Saccharomyces cerevisiae S288C: one gene and its partners. Changing the gene in region 2 together with the main gene of any one other region gives a genetic interaction. Each region holds a gene or a part of one and is shown on either strand. Other genes may lie near its edges.

Region 1 (3,328 bases), on a different chromosome or scaffold from region 2:
AACTAGAAAAGGCCAGATGTCTTAAGTGTATATATTTTGAATGAGAATTATGTATGCAGCATATTTACTTGAATCTTCAAAAAAAGAAGCCCTGTAGGGGGCTCGAACCCCTAACCTTATGATTAAGAGTCATACGCGCTACCGATTGCGCCAACAAGGCTACTTATTGTTATTTACCGTCAGCTTGTATTCTTATATGTTGAGCTGGTTTTTTATCTCAGCTTTTACTTTCTCAAAGTTAATAAAACTATTCTTCTAGAACTTTTTTTCTGGATTTCGGTTGCTGAACTAGTTCAACAAAAATATTTATTTTAAAATTAAACTGGTTCAAGGTCTCATAGTCGATCATTTCCAATCAATCAAAGCAACCCACAAATCCTAGGCTGAATCATGATATCGATGGAAGCAATCAACAATTTTATCAAGACCGCACCAAAGCACGACTATCTGACAGGCGGAGTTCATCATTCTGGTAATGTAGACGTGTTACAATTAAGCGGCAATAAAGAAGATGGTAGTTTAGTATGGAACCATACTTTTGTTGATGTAGACAACAATGTGGTAGCTAAGTTTGAAGACGCTCTCGAAAAACTTGAAAGTTTGCACCGGCGCTCATCCTCATCCACAGGCAATGAAGAACACGCTAACGTTTAACCGAGGGGAGTCACTTCATAATGATGTGAGAAATAAGTGAATATTGTAATAATTGTTGGGACTCCATTGTCAACAAAAGCTATAATGTAGGTATACAGTATATACTAGAAGTTCTCCTCGAGGATCTTGGAATCCACAAAAGGGAGTCGATAAATCTATATAATAAAAATTACTTTATCTTCTTTCGTTTTATACGTTGTCGTTTATTATCCTATTACGTTATCAATCTTCGCATTTCAGCTTTCATTAGATTTGATGACTGTTTCTCAAACTTTATGTCATTTTCTTACACCGCATATGATTATATACTAGAAACATGAATACTACTAAATAGATGATAAATGGAGTTTCATTGCAATGGTGATAATGATTGTGATTTTATTTGTTGGAATAACAATCAACTATCATCCATTCACTGGTATCAATATTACTGGTATATTATCTTATATGGTGTAGGAAGATGGCATAATATTGAGAAACGGCTATCGGATGTGGTAAAAGCTAAAATGCGAAGATTGATAATGTAACAGGATAGTGAACGACAACGCATAAAATGGAAAAAGAGGTAATATCGTTATTATGTAAAATTATTTGTGTCCTTTGTGGACTCTAAGATCCTTGGAAATTTAAATGACCGGAGAATGAGGTCGCTATAATAGTTTCTATACTCATGGAAAATGCAACCGATAAACCATTATAAATCTTCGCGGTTATCTGGCATTGTTATTAACCAAAAAAATGCCGGCCTATTACAAGCTACTGTTCAATAAATATTGTTGTAATGAAGACGGTCCAACTGTACAAATACAGCAAACTGTCATATATAAGGAGTCTTATGTGACAGCACTTGCGTTATTGTCAGCCGGAGTATGTCTTTGTCGCATTCTGGGCTTTTTACTTTCTGCTCAGAAGGAAGTACGAACAAGAAAAAAAAATCACCAATGCTTCCCTTTTCAGTATTAGTTTCATATTTGTTTACGTTCAAACTCGTCGTTTGCGCGATAACCTCTAAAAAAGTCAATTACGTAACTATATCAATCAGAGAATGCAAAAAGCACTATCATAAAAATGTGTCTAGGGGATGTGAGACATGTCAATTATAAGAAGTGATGGTGTCATAGTATATATATCATAAAAGATTATCAAAGTTTCAATCCTTTGTATTTTCTAGTTTAGCGCCAACTTTTGACAAAACCTAAACTTTAGATAATCATCATTCTTACAATTTTTATCTGGATGGCAATAATCTCCTATATAAAGCCCAGATAAACTGTAAAAAGAATCCATCACTATTTGAAAAAAAGTCATCTGGCACGTTTAATTATCAGAGCAGAAATGATGAAGGGTGTTAGCGCCGTCCACTGATGTGCCTGGTAGTCATGATTTACGTATAACTAACACATCATGAGGACGGCGGCGTCACCCCAACGCAAAAGAGTGACTTCCCTGCGCTTTGCCAAAACCCCATACATCGCCATCTGGCTCCTGGCAGGGCGGTTGATGGACATCAGCCGCCTCCCTTAATTGCTAAAGCCTCCACAAGGCACAATTAAGCAATATTTCGGGAAAGTACACCAGTCAGTTTGCGCTTTTATGACTGGGTTCTAAGGTACTAGATGTGAAGTAGTGGTGACAGAATCAGGGAGATAAGAGGGAGCAGGGTGGGGTAATGATGTGCGATAACAATCTTGCTTGGCTAATCACCCCCATATCTTGTAGTGAGTATATAAATAGGAGCCTCCCTTCCTATTGCAACTCCATAAAATTTTTTTTTGTAGCCACTTCTGTAACAAGATAAATAAAACCAACTAATCGAGATATCAAATATGGGTAGTTTTTGGGACGCATTCGCAGTATACGACAAGAAAAAGCACGCAGATCCAAGTGTATATGGAGGAAACCATAACAACACAGGAGACAGTAAAACGCAGGTTATGTTTTCGAAAGAGTACCGTCAACCTAGGACACATCAGCAAGAGAACTTGCAGAGCATGAGAAGATCTTCCATAGGATCACAGGACAGTTCCGATGTTGAGGACGTTAAGGAAGGGAGATTACCCGCAGAAGTAGAAATACCAAAGAATGTTGACATCTCTAACATGTCGCAAGGTGAGTTTTTAAGACTTTACGAAAGTTTGAGGAGGGGGGAACCCGACAATAAAGTAAATAGATAAATGGAGGAGATATTCATAGTGTCTTTTCTTGTGTTGTCTATTTATTCTAACATGATTATATATTTATTATGCTTTTCAGTGTTTCCATTAGTTTTATATGATAGCATCCTTATGTCTTTTTTCATACCTATATAAGCAATAAGAAGTTATGTAAACAGAACTTTGCCACTAATACCATAATTACTGTCTTTTAGTATCATTGTCTGTCAGTCGGCACGGATGAAAGGTGACAAACGCCTAGCCGCCGGAGCCTGCCGGTACCGGCTTGGCTTCAGTTGCTGATCTCGGCGCGGAAAAATCAGCGCCCCACGCCAAAAGGTTCGTATTTTTTCTTTTTTTTTCTAATCTTCCATCTATTCGGTAGCGATGATTCATTTCTCTGAAAAAAAAAAAAAAAAAAAAAAATGAAAAAGAATATTTTTTTGATGAACTTGTATTTCTCTTATCTGGTTGATATATATGCTATCATTTATTTTCTTATCAAGTTTCCAAATTTCTAA
Region 2 (6,327 bases):
AAAAATATATTCAGAGACACAACTAGTTCACCTTCAGTTGGAGTATTCAATTTTTTAAAAAGTTCAAAAATGAAAGCCTTTAAAGCTGTTATGTTTGGCTTCTAGTGTGTACGAGCAATTCTAGTACCCAGCAGCTGTAACAAATCCATCGAGTAGTGCAGCAAGACCAACTGCTCCTGGATCTGGTAATCCACCTTCGCTGTCGAGTTTTCTCAGCTCCTCCTTAGCCACGTAAGAAGCACGCCCAACAAGGGCATCCATCTTCCTTGTCTTTTCGGCACCATCATAAGCAGCTTGGGCGGCGGCTCTGGGACCCTTCCCGGCTTTCAGCGCTTCGACAAAAGGTTGCAGAGCATCGATCAGAGTCCTGTAACCAGGACGGGCTCTCGTATACTTATACAAAGCATCTAGTGCAACGTTTGATGCCTTTTTGAAAGTTTCCGCAGTAAGTTCCTTGTCCCCAGAATCCCTAACTCCTTGTGCGAGAGCAGAAAGATAGATAGAGTACAGACCACCGGACGTACCACCCATAGAATCCTCAACCATATACGCAATATCTTCGATACCAAGAGCAGCATCCTCGAGGCGCAACGTATGGTTTTTAATAGCTTCTTCCAATGCTTCACCACCGGACACAAGAGTAGTTCCGCAATCACCATCTCCTGCAATGGTATCGTACCAAGTAACCTTTGGTTCAACCTCGTTAATTTTTGCAATCCCAGCAAGCAAAATTTTAGCAAAAGTGTCATAATCAGCTTTCACACCCGAACCTTTTTCATTCCTCAATGTCTTTAAAGAGGGGGCGGTGGGAACCTGCCCTTTGGCAAGTACCTCCCAATCTTTGGCAGAATGGTACATTTGATTCCATCCACTCGCTGTGGTAGGATAATCGAAATACTTAAGGATATCGCCACCAGCTTTTGAAGCGTTCATAAGAGTGATACCAAACCCAGGACCATTCAATGCAGTAATGAATGCTCCAGTAATCGTTCTCTTGGGCACAATTTGATACTTATCAATCAATTGTTCAGAAATGACCTCTGCAGCATAACCCAATTCTAGATTAGACATACCACCCATGTTGTTAACCATAAGAACTACGTCCTCTTTGGGCTCAAACTTCACATAAGAACGGTCTTCATCCTCATCGAGAAGAAGAGGAAGCATCTGGGAAACGAGCTCAGAAATCGATGGCAGCGGAGAAGACTTATAGGTACCAGACTCGTTATGAATACCCATACCGATTTCATACTCATTCTCGCCCAAAATGGCTTCAGGTTTGTGGCCAGGAACCGTGCAGTGATCAAGAGATGCCGCAATTGTGACACTATTGTCAACTACTGACTGAGCAACTTCGGCAACTTCTGCCAACTCCAGTCCATGAGAAGCGGCTGCCCCAGCAATTTTATGCACCAATACGGTGGCTCCGAGACCTCGACGCCCGACTAAAGAACCTTTCTTCTTACCGACAGAGACATCATCTCCTACAGCAACCAGTTCGACTTTCATTCCAGCAGCTTTAGCTCTTTCAGCAGCGAGACCAAAATGTATAATATCACCGGTGTAATTTTTTACAATGATCAAGGTACCCTTAGGAGATTCAACAGCTTTAATAGCAGAATAGATCTGTTTAGTTGAAGGAGAAGCAAAAATGGCACCTGCTGCAATCGCATCTAAGGCACCTTCACCAACAAAACCGGCATGCGTTGGCTCATGACCACTGCCACCTCCAGAAACCAATGAAACTTTAGGAGGGTTCCCTGAATTAGGAGCTGACGCAGTCCGGAAAACCACTCTGTCGTGCTTAATCACTGTAAGGCCGGGATTGCTTCGAGCAAGGCCAAGTAGGTAGGGAGTAACGATGTTTCCATCTGATTTGAATTGTTTGTGAGACATGATTATTTAGTCAATTGTAGTTGGGTTTTGTCAGATTTTGAGGTAAAATACACTTTACAGACAATACTAGAAAAAAAAAGGGCTGATCTGGGTTCATTTATATATATTTAATGATCCAAAGTTTGAAAATTCAATCACACATTGCGGTATTTTCCCCTTCTCGTATTGTTGAGATCCTTATACAATATCAAGTACTTAATTATCCAACTATGGTGACGTAAGAATTTACTTGGCTCAATATCTCCCTATTTGGTACTACGATACGATTTCATGAAATTATGAGTTAAATAATTTAGAATCTAGTTATGGCCTGGCGGGAATTGTTTCTGTGCAGGGATTTACTCACAATCACCCTCTGCGGGAATAATATGCATAGGTTGTGATTAATTTTTTAAATTAAGTTCCATCAGAAGGCCTAGTTTTCTCCGTTGATAACTCCGCTCCGGAATATCATAATTTTCCGGTACCCCACTTACCCCGGAAATTTGAGTTATAAACGTTGTTTGAGCTTTACCTAGTCTTGGTCGATCAAAAGTTCTGGTACCTTTTCACCATGTCTCCCCCTTATTCATATAAAAAGAAGCGTATAATCGCACAGTATAACGCTCCTCTGATATATGATCTAGACCCAAGTAATGAGTTACGAATCTGGGAGGTCATCCTCCTCTTCCGAGAGTACACGGCCACCAACGCTAAAAGAAGAACCTAATGGTAAAATAGCTTGGGAAGAAAGTGTCAAAAAATCTAGGGAAAATAACGAAAATGACAGCACTCTCTTGAGGCGAAAGCTAGGTGAGACTCGAAAAGCAATTGAAACTGGAGGATCATCGAGAAATAAACTTTCTGCTTTGACACCCTTGAAAAAAGTGGTTGACGAGAGGAAGGATTCGGTACAACCACAGGTCCCTTCCATGGGTTTTACTTATTCTTTGCCTAATTTGAAGACTTTAAACAGTTTTTCAGATGCTGAGCAAGCACGTATAATGCAAGATTATCTATCCAGGGGGGTAAATCAAGGCAACAGTAATAATTATGTAGACCCACTATATCGGCAATTAAATCCAACTATGGGTAGTAGCAGGAACAGGCCTGTTTGGAGTTTAAATCAGCCGTTACCGCATGTATTGGATCGAGGCTTGGCAGCAAAGATGATACAAAAGAATATGGATGCAAGGTCCCGCGCATCATCGAGACGAGGGTCGACCGATATTTCAAGGGGGGGTTCTACTACGTCAGTGAAAGACTGGAAAAGGCTCCTTAGAGGTGCAGCACCGGGTAAAAAGCTTGGTGACATCGAAGCTCAAACGCAACGCGATAATACTGTTGGTGCAGATGTGAAACCTACTAAGTTAGAGCCTGAAAACCCACAAAAGCCCTCTAACACGCATATTGAGAATGTTTCACGTAAGAAAAAGCGTACTTCGCATAATGTCAATTTTTCATTAGGCGATGAAAGCTACGCATCCTCCATAGCCGATGCAGAATCCAGAAAATTAAAGAACATGCAAACCCTCGATGGTTCTACTCCGGTTTATACGAAGCTTCCTGAAGAACTTATTGAAGAGGAAAATAAAAGTACGAGTGCATTAGATGGTAATGAAATTGGTGCCTCAGAAGATGAAGACGCGGATATAATGACATTTCCTAACTTTTGGGCAAAAATTCGCTATCATATGCGAGAACCGTTTGCGGAGTTTCTCGGGACACTAGTTCTTGTCATTTTTGGTGTTGGTGGTAATCTTCAAGCAACTGTAACAAAAGGTAGTGGTGGTTCCTATGAATCCCTATCATTTGCATGGGGGTTCGGTTGTATGCTTGGTGTTTACGTCGCAGGCGGTATTAGTGGTGGTCATATTAACCCTGCTGTTACGATTTCAATGGCAATTTTTCGAAAATTCCCCTGGAAAAAGGTGCCCGTATATATTGTTGCTCAGATTATCGGTGCATATTTTGGAGGAGCTATGGCTTATGGTTATTTTTGGAGCTCTATCACAGAATTTGAGGGAGGTCCGCACATAAGAACAACGGCGACCGGTGCGTGTTTGTTTACTGATCCAAAGTCTTACGTCACGTGGAGAAATGCCTTCTTTGACGAATTCATAGGAGCCTCTATACTTGTGGGTTGTTTGATGGCGCTATTGGATGATAGTAATGCTCCACCTGGCAATGGTATGACCGCATTAATTATTGGATTCTTAGTCGCTGCAATTGGTATGGCCCTTGGATATCAAACAAGTTTCACAATCAATCCTGCAAGAGATCTCGGTCCTCGCATATTTGCTTCCATGATTGGCTATGGTCCACATGCTTTTCATCTCACACATTGGTGGTGGACATGGGGAGCCTGGGGTGGTCCAATTGCCGGCGGTATTGCTGGAGCACTCATATATGACATTTTCATTTTTACTGGATGCGAATCCCCAGTCAACTACCCAGACAACGGTTATATTGAGAATAGGGTAGGTAAACTTTTACATGCGGAGTTCCACCAGAATGATGGCACTGTCTCAGATGAATCTGGTGTTAACAGCAACAGCAACACTGGCAGCAAGAAATCTGTGCCTACTTCGTCATAATTAATATTTTCAATTTTTTACGATTTATAACCTAATTATTAATTTCACGAACTTATTATTTGACGACATACTACATCCGGGAGCCGTGACTTTGTTACCATCTCTTACTTGTGCTCTAAATTCTATCGTTTTGTTTTTGTAATAAAGAATGAGACTGCCTGCGGCTTAATTGTCTTTTTATTGTAGGCAAGAACAAAATTCGACTAATACGTAAAATTAAATGTCAAACCAGGAGTCTCACATTATGTTATTAATAAAAATAATAAAATTTTCAGCTCGTTGACGATAGGAAAATTCCTGGCACCATCAACTAGGTAATCCCACTGAAGATGTGTTTTATATGAATATGTGCTATATTTACTAATAATAAAGAGCAAGTTGCCAAATAAACTAATTGTGCTCAAAGAAAATTATTGTCATTATCATATATTTTCTCATATGCAATTTCAATCAATTTTAGACAAGTGATTATATATATGTAAACGGTTGTTTTTTGATGTTACGTTCTGTATGATTGACCAATGCTATTTTTCTCATGCGATATAAATTGGAGAAGTGCCATATTGATTTACGTTACTCAAGTTGTCAATTTCAGCCTGACGTTGAAAAAGATAACAAAATTTGCTCAGATAGGGGCAAAAATCACACTGCCAGCAAATATTTTAAGGATTGATACTTTGGCTAATCCAAGGCCAAAGCAGAAAAATCTATCACCTTTTTCAATTCACCCAACGTTCTCACTAAATGGATGAAAATTCGGTAGATTCTTATCGTATATTTCGTACCAATAACTTGAGTATACCGAACAATAATATAACTCGGCAGTCATTTCCGGCTATACCGTTTTCAGAAAGAGGTTGCCTTTTGATAATGTGGCCAAACGAGGAATTATCTGTTAAAGCCATTATTACATCTCTCAGCAAACTAGTTTTTTAAAGCCACCTCAGCAAAAAGCGCGACCAGGACTTCTTCGGATGTTCTTGGCGTTATTTTGAGTCTTTTGTTTGTTTTACTAAAACCCCCCTAAAGATTAATTATTCTCAAAAATAGTTAACAGGCTGTCTGTCGCCACTCGAAGTCCGGAAAAATGTGCACTTATCTTTTAAGTCCGCCTACCCCGCATCTTCTTTTCCAGGATATTTTTCTCCGAGCACAGAGATTCCGCAAGAGTTTAAAAGTACAATTAACCTTTTATCTTTAAGCTTTTTTTTCCGGAAATATAAGGTTTTCGTCAGGTAAATTTATTTTGGGAGCAGCAACAACATATTACACGTTCCACGTATTTCCCATGATAAAATATATTCATTTCCCCTAATATTTAACTACAATAGTCAGCTCTTCTACAATCCCTAAACGAGCTTTTGATTGGATAAGTGCAAATAAAACAAGAACAGTAATCTTGAATCTTGCATTTGCTCTTTTCTTTGGAAAACACGCAAGCTCGTATAAACTGTATTTTTCAGGAACAGGATAAGATGTGCTAGGTGAAAAGAGGTGCTTGGTCTAGAATATAACTCGGAGAAAAAGTCACCGGTCAAGAGGTTCTTGGGTTTATACCCTATGAAATTGATATTTCGGGTTGATTATCTTTTGTGCTAGAATATTGCTGTATAATATCTCATAAATGGTCTATGAAAAACCCTGGCCGGCGTAAAAACGTTCCGCAACCAATTTCTGAACCTTTTCATCCGGCAATTACTAGTGCTTTAACATTGATTTATTGTTTTTGCCGTAAATTTGATTTTTCTTCTTCTTTCTTTTCTCTTTCATAAACGACTTTCTTTATTTATACCATCTTACATATCCTTAATAAGAAATAACAAAAACAAATCATCCTTGCAATGAACCACTCATC
Region 3 (3,526 bases), on a different chromosome or scaffold from region 2:
CAAAGTATCTTTTTTCTTTGTGAAACCAATTTTAGGTTTTCTTGTTATAGTAAGTTCTTAAGAAAAAGACAAGAAAACCCCTTGCGATGTTTAAGACTTCATATAACTTGTACGATTTGAACTATCCGAAAAATGATTCATTAACGCCAATAAGAGACTACAAAAATGACTATTTTCATAAAAATGATGACAAATTACCAGAAATTGTTAGAAAACCTACGAGAAAGTTATCGAAACATGAAAACAAACTCAACGATAAAAAATTCACGAATAAACGACCAGCAAGTCTGGACTTGCATTCTATAGTGGAGAGCCTGAGCAATAAAAAAATTTACTCTCCTATTAACACAGAGATATTTCAAAATGTCGTGAGACTGAATTTGAGCCCTCAGATTCCCAATTCTCCTCACGAGGGATGCAAATTTTATAAAATCGTACAGGAGTTTTACCTCTCTGAAGTGGAATATTACAATAATTTGTTAACCGCAAATAACGTATACAGAAAGGCATTGAATAGTGATCCAAGATTCAAGAATAAACTTGTCAAGCTTGATTCAAGTGACGAGCTATTGCTTTTTGGGAACATTGACACTATTGCGTCAATCAGCAAAATACTGGTAACGGCAATAAAAGACCTACTTTTAGCCAAGCAACGTGGGAAAATGTTGGATGCGAATGAATGGCAAAAGATATTCACCAAAAATGAGGTACAACAGCAGCTATATTCAACTTTTGATATTTCAGAGGCGTTCGAGCAACATTTGTTAAGAATCAAATCCACCTACACAAGCTATTTTGTTAGCCACCAAAAACAAATGGAACTATTTACTACATTAAGGATGAATAAGAATCATTTTTTTAACAAGTGGTATGAATATTGTTTAAAAGAGAGTGGATGTATAAAGTTAGAGGACATATTGAAAAGCCCGATGAAAAGACTGACTCAGTGGATTGATACTTTGGAAACTTTGGAAAGCTGTTACGAAGATATTCTTTCGCCAGAATTGGGCTTGAAACTAAGCCCGACAAGAAGAAAATATTCTTTATTTTCCAATAAGTTAGAAACCGAGGTCTCCGAGTATAAGAGTAATTCCATGTATAATTTCAGTTTAACCCCATCAGAGATTATACAAAGTTATGATGAAGATCAGTTTACACACCTTTTAAAACCCCCAGACAAACAAAATAAAAATATATGTAATGCATCTCGACAAGAGAGTAATTTGGATAATAGTAGAGTTCCTTCTCTTCTTTCTGGATCATCGAGTTACTACTCAGATGTATCAGGGCTAGAAATTGTCACTAATACTTCAACTGCCTCAGCTGAGATGATAAATCTAAAAATGGATGAAGAAACAGAATTTTTTACATTGGCAGATCACATCAGTAAATTCAAGAAAGTAATGAAAGGTTTGTTAGAATTAAAAAAGAATTTATTGAAAAACGATCTGTCAGGCATTATTGATATCAGTTTAAGAAGAATAAATGCATGGAAAAAGGTGATCGAGTGCGAACGCCCTTCTGGTGCATTTTTTGCGCACGATAACTTAATATCGACCATGTGTTCTTCGTACATAGATAAACTGCATGAACAAAAAAATCAAGTAACAATTTTGAAACTCACAGAGCTCGAAACAGATGTGATGAACCCACTTGAAAGAATCATAGCCCATTGTACTACCGTTAAAAGCAAACTAAAAGATTTGCAAGCTTTGAAGAAAGATTACATGTTATTTTTACAAGAAAAAAAAGCAAATGTGCGAGATATTAAACGTGACTTGTTGGGAATGCATTTCCAAAACCTGCAAAACCAGATGAAAAGGGAATTACCGGTCTTTATTACTTTGATCCACGATACTATCGAATGTATCTTGTTGAACTATATCAAAGTCTTCTTAAAATATTTGGAAATCATTGCTGGTGGAAAAAAATACCTGCAAAAAGATCTTGAAAATATGTCTCTTAATGACTCTATAGCTACCGGCCAAATTAAAAATCTTGATATTTTGCAGTGTTATTCTAAATCACGATATATGACAAAACGCATGGTAAGAAAAGATTGGCCTTTCCCTGGAGACCCTAGTGGAAGCCGTGTTGTCAGAAAACTTTTCGAACTTTAACAAAAGAGTATATTTAGCTTATAGTTTTTAGAATGTTTTGTTTTCTTTTTTATTAAAGTAGTACTACTGCGCTGGAGCAGTATATATGTTGAACTATAGTCAGTCACCTATAATTTGTTTGCTGGCGCGAAGGAGAAAGAAAATTTTAATTAATTCATGAAAAGCCTTAAGAAAAAGTTTAAGAGGAAATGAGCAAATAGAAGGCAAATAGAGGGTGAAAGCATTATGGCCGACATCAATAAATATATTCCGATGGTTGACGCTATTTTGAGCGTATCCAACCCCGATGAAATAAGCCCAAAAAGGGTGAGGAAAGCCCTGCAAATTCTCTATTCAGTTAATTTGGATTCACAAAGAAAGTTAATTAATGAATTGATTCTTGAGAGGTTCGGCGATATACAAGAAAACCCAAGAGTCTTAATTCCGAAGAACGACCTCATTAGTCGGGATCAAGAACTATCTTTGAGGTTACAGAAGGAAGAAGAAAGACCCTTGAGGTCTACGAGGAAAAGGAAAGGTAAAAGTGAAAGTAAATCTAAAAGGAAGAAGAAAAAGAATGATAGTCCTGATTCCAACAGCATTTCCGTCCGCAAAGTTCTGTTGTCAGCTCCTTTACAAAAGTTTCTAGGATCTGAAGAACTGCCACGAACGCAAGTAGTGAAGATGATATGGCAGTATATCAAAGAGCATGATCTTCAAAACCCAAAAGATCGTAGAGAAATTCTATGCGATGAGAAGATGGAACCAATTTTTGGCAAAAAAATGACGATGTTTTCAATGAATAAACTCTTAACTAAGCACTTGTTTAATCCCGATGAAATTGTGAAACATGAAGAGGAACAAAAGCAAACACCCGAAAAAGAAATCAAATTGGAAAACGAATCTCTTCCCAATTTAAGCGGTTGATCTTGGCTGTAGCACTTATACAAATTTAATGATTTTTTTTCCTCTTTGATGACATGTATAAAGCACACTGCACCTACTGTATTGTACTTGAAACAGGTAAATTAACAATTAATGTAGCATTAGTAATAAATAATTTCACTTCACGGCGTTAAAGAAATACTATGGCAAATTCGATTTGAGAATTTCGTCAAATTCTGATGATATCAATTAATGGCATATTTTTTTTATTTTTTATCTGGAGAAAAAAATGTAAAAATGACAGCAGCATCAACAATGAATAAAAGCAAGTACAATAGTCGTAAAGATCTATATTAATTTCATGGCAGCACAATAATACACGTTGTTTAAATTAGTTAAAGTGTCACTCCTTGCTTATCGAAGGAACTATCGATTCCTAATTATGGCAAGGCAAGGGAACTTCTACGCGGTTAGAAAGGGCAGGGAAACTGGGATCTATAATACATGGAATGAATGTAAAAACCAAGTTGATGGTTATGGTG

What was found.
Region 1: mutations in AQY3 (region 2) and SPG4 together harm fitness less than expected from each alone (positive genetic interaction), as found in Saccharomyces cerevisiae (one large-scale study listed by BioGRID).
Region 3: mutations in AQY3 (region 2) and TRI1 together harm fitness less than expected from each alone (positive genetic interaction), as found in Saccharomyces cerevisiae (one large-scale study listed by BioGRID).

Annotation. Positions count from the first base shown.
Region 1 is NC_001145.3:480,534-483,861, forward strand, and holds SPG4 (Spg4p), read left to right. Parts: upstream 1-2,480; coding exon 2,481-2,828; downstream 2,829-3,328. Other genes in the region: YMR106W-A (uncharacterized protein), read left to right, coding at 391-654. UniProt on the Saccharomyces cerevisiae protein: Stationary phase-essential protein not required for growth on nonfermentable carbon sources.
Region 2 is NC_001138.5:18,992-25,318, reverse strand, and holds AQY3 (Aqy3p), read left to right. Parts: upstream 1-2,531; coding exon 2,532-4,472; downstream 4,473-6,327. Other genes in the region: DAK2 (dihydroxyacetone kinase), read right to left, coding at 121-1,896. UniProt on the Saccharomyces cerevisiae protein: Channel protein that mediates glycerol entry under ethanol stimulation. Does not seem to mediate glycerol uptake under standard conditions.
Region 3 is NC_001145.3:736,840-740,365, forward strand, and holds TRI1 (Tri1p), read left to right. Parts: upstream 1-2,345; coding exon 2,346-3,026; downstream 3,027-3,526. Other genes in the region: FUS2 (Fus2p), read left to right, coding at 87-2,120; RNH1 (RNA-DNA hybrid ribonuclease), read left to right, coding at 3,427-3,526. UniProt on the Saccharomyces cerevisiae protein: May be involved in transcription regulation.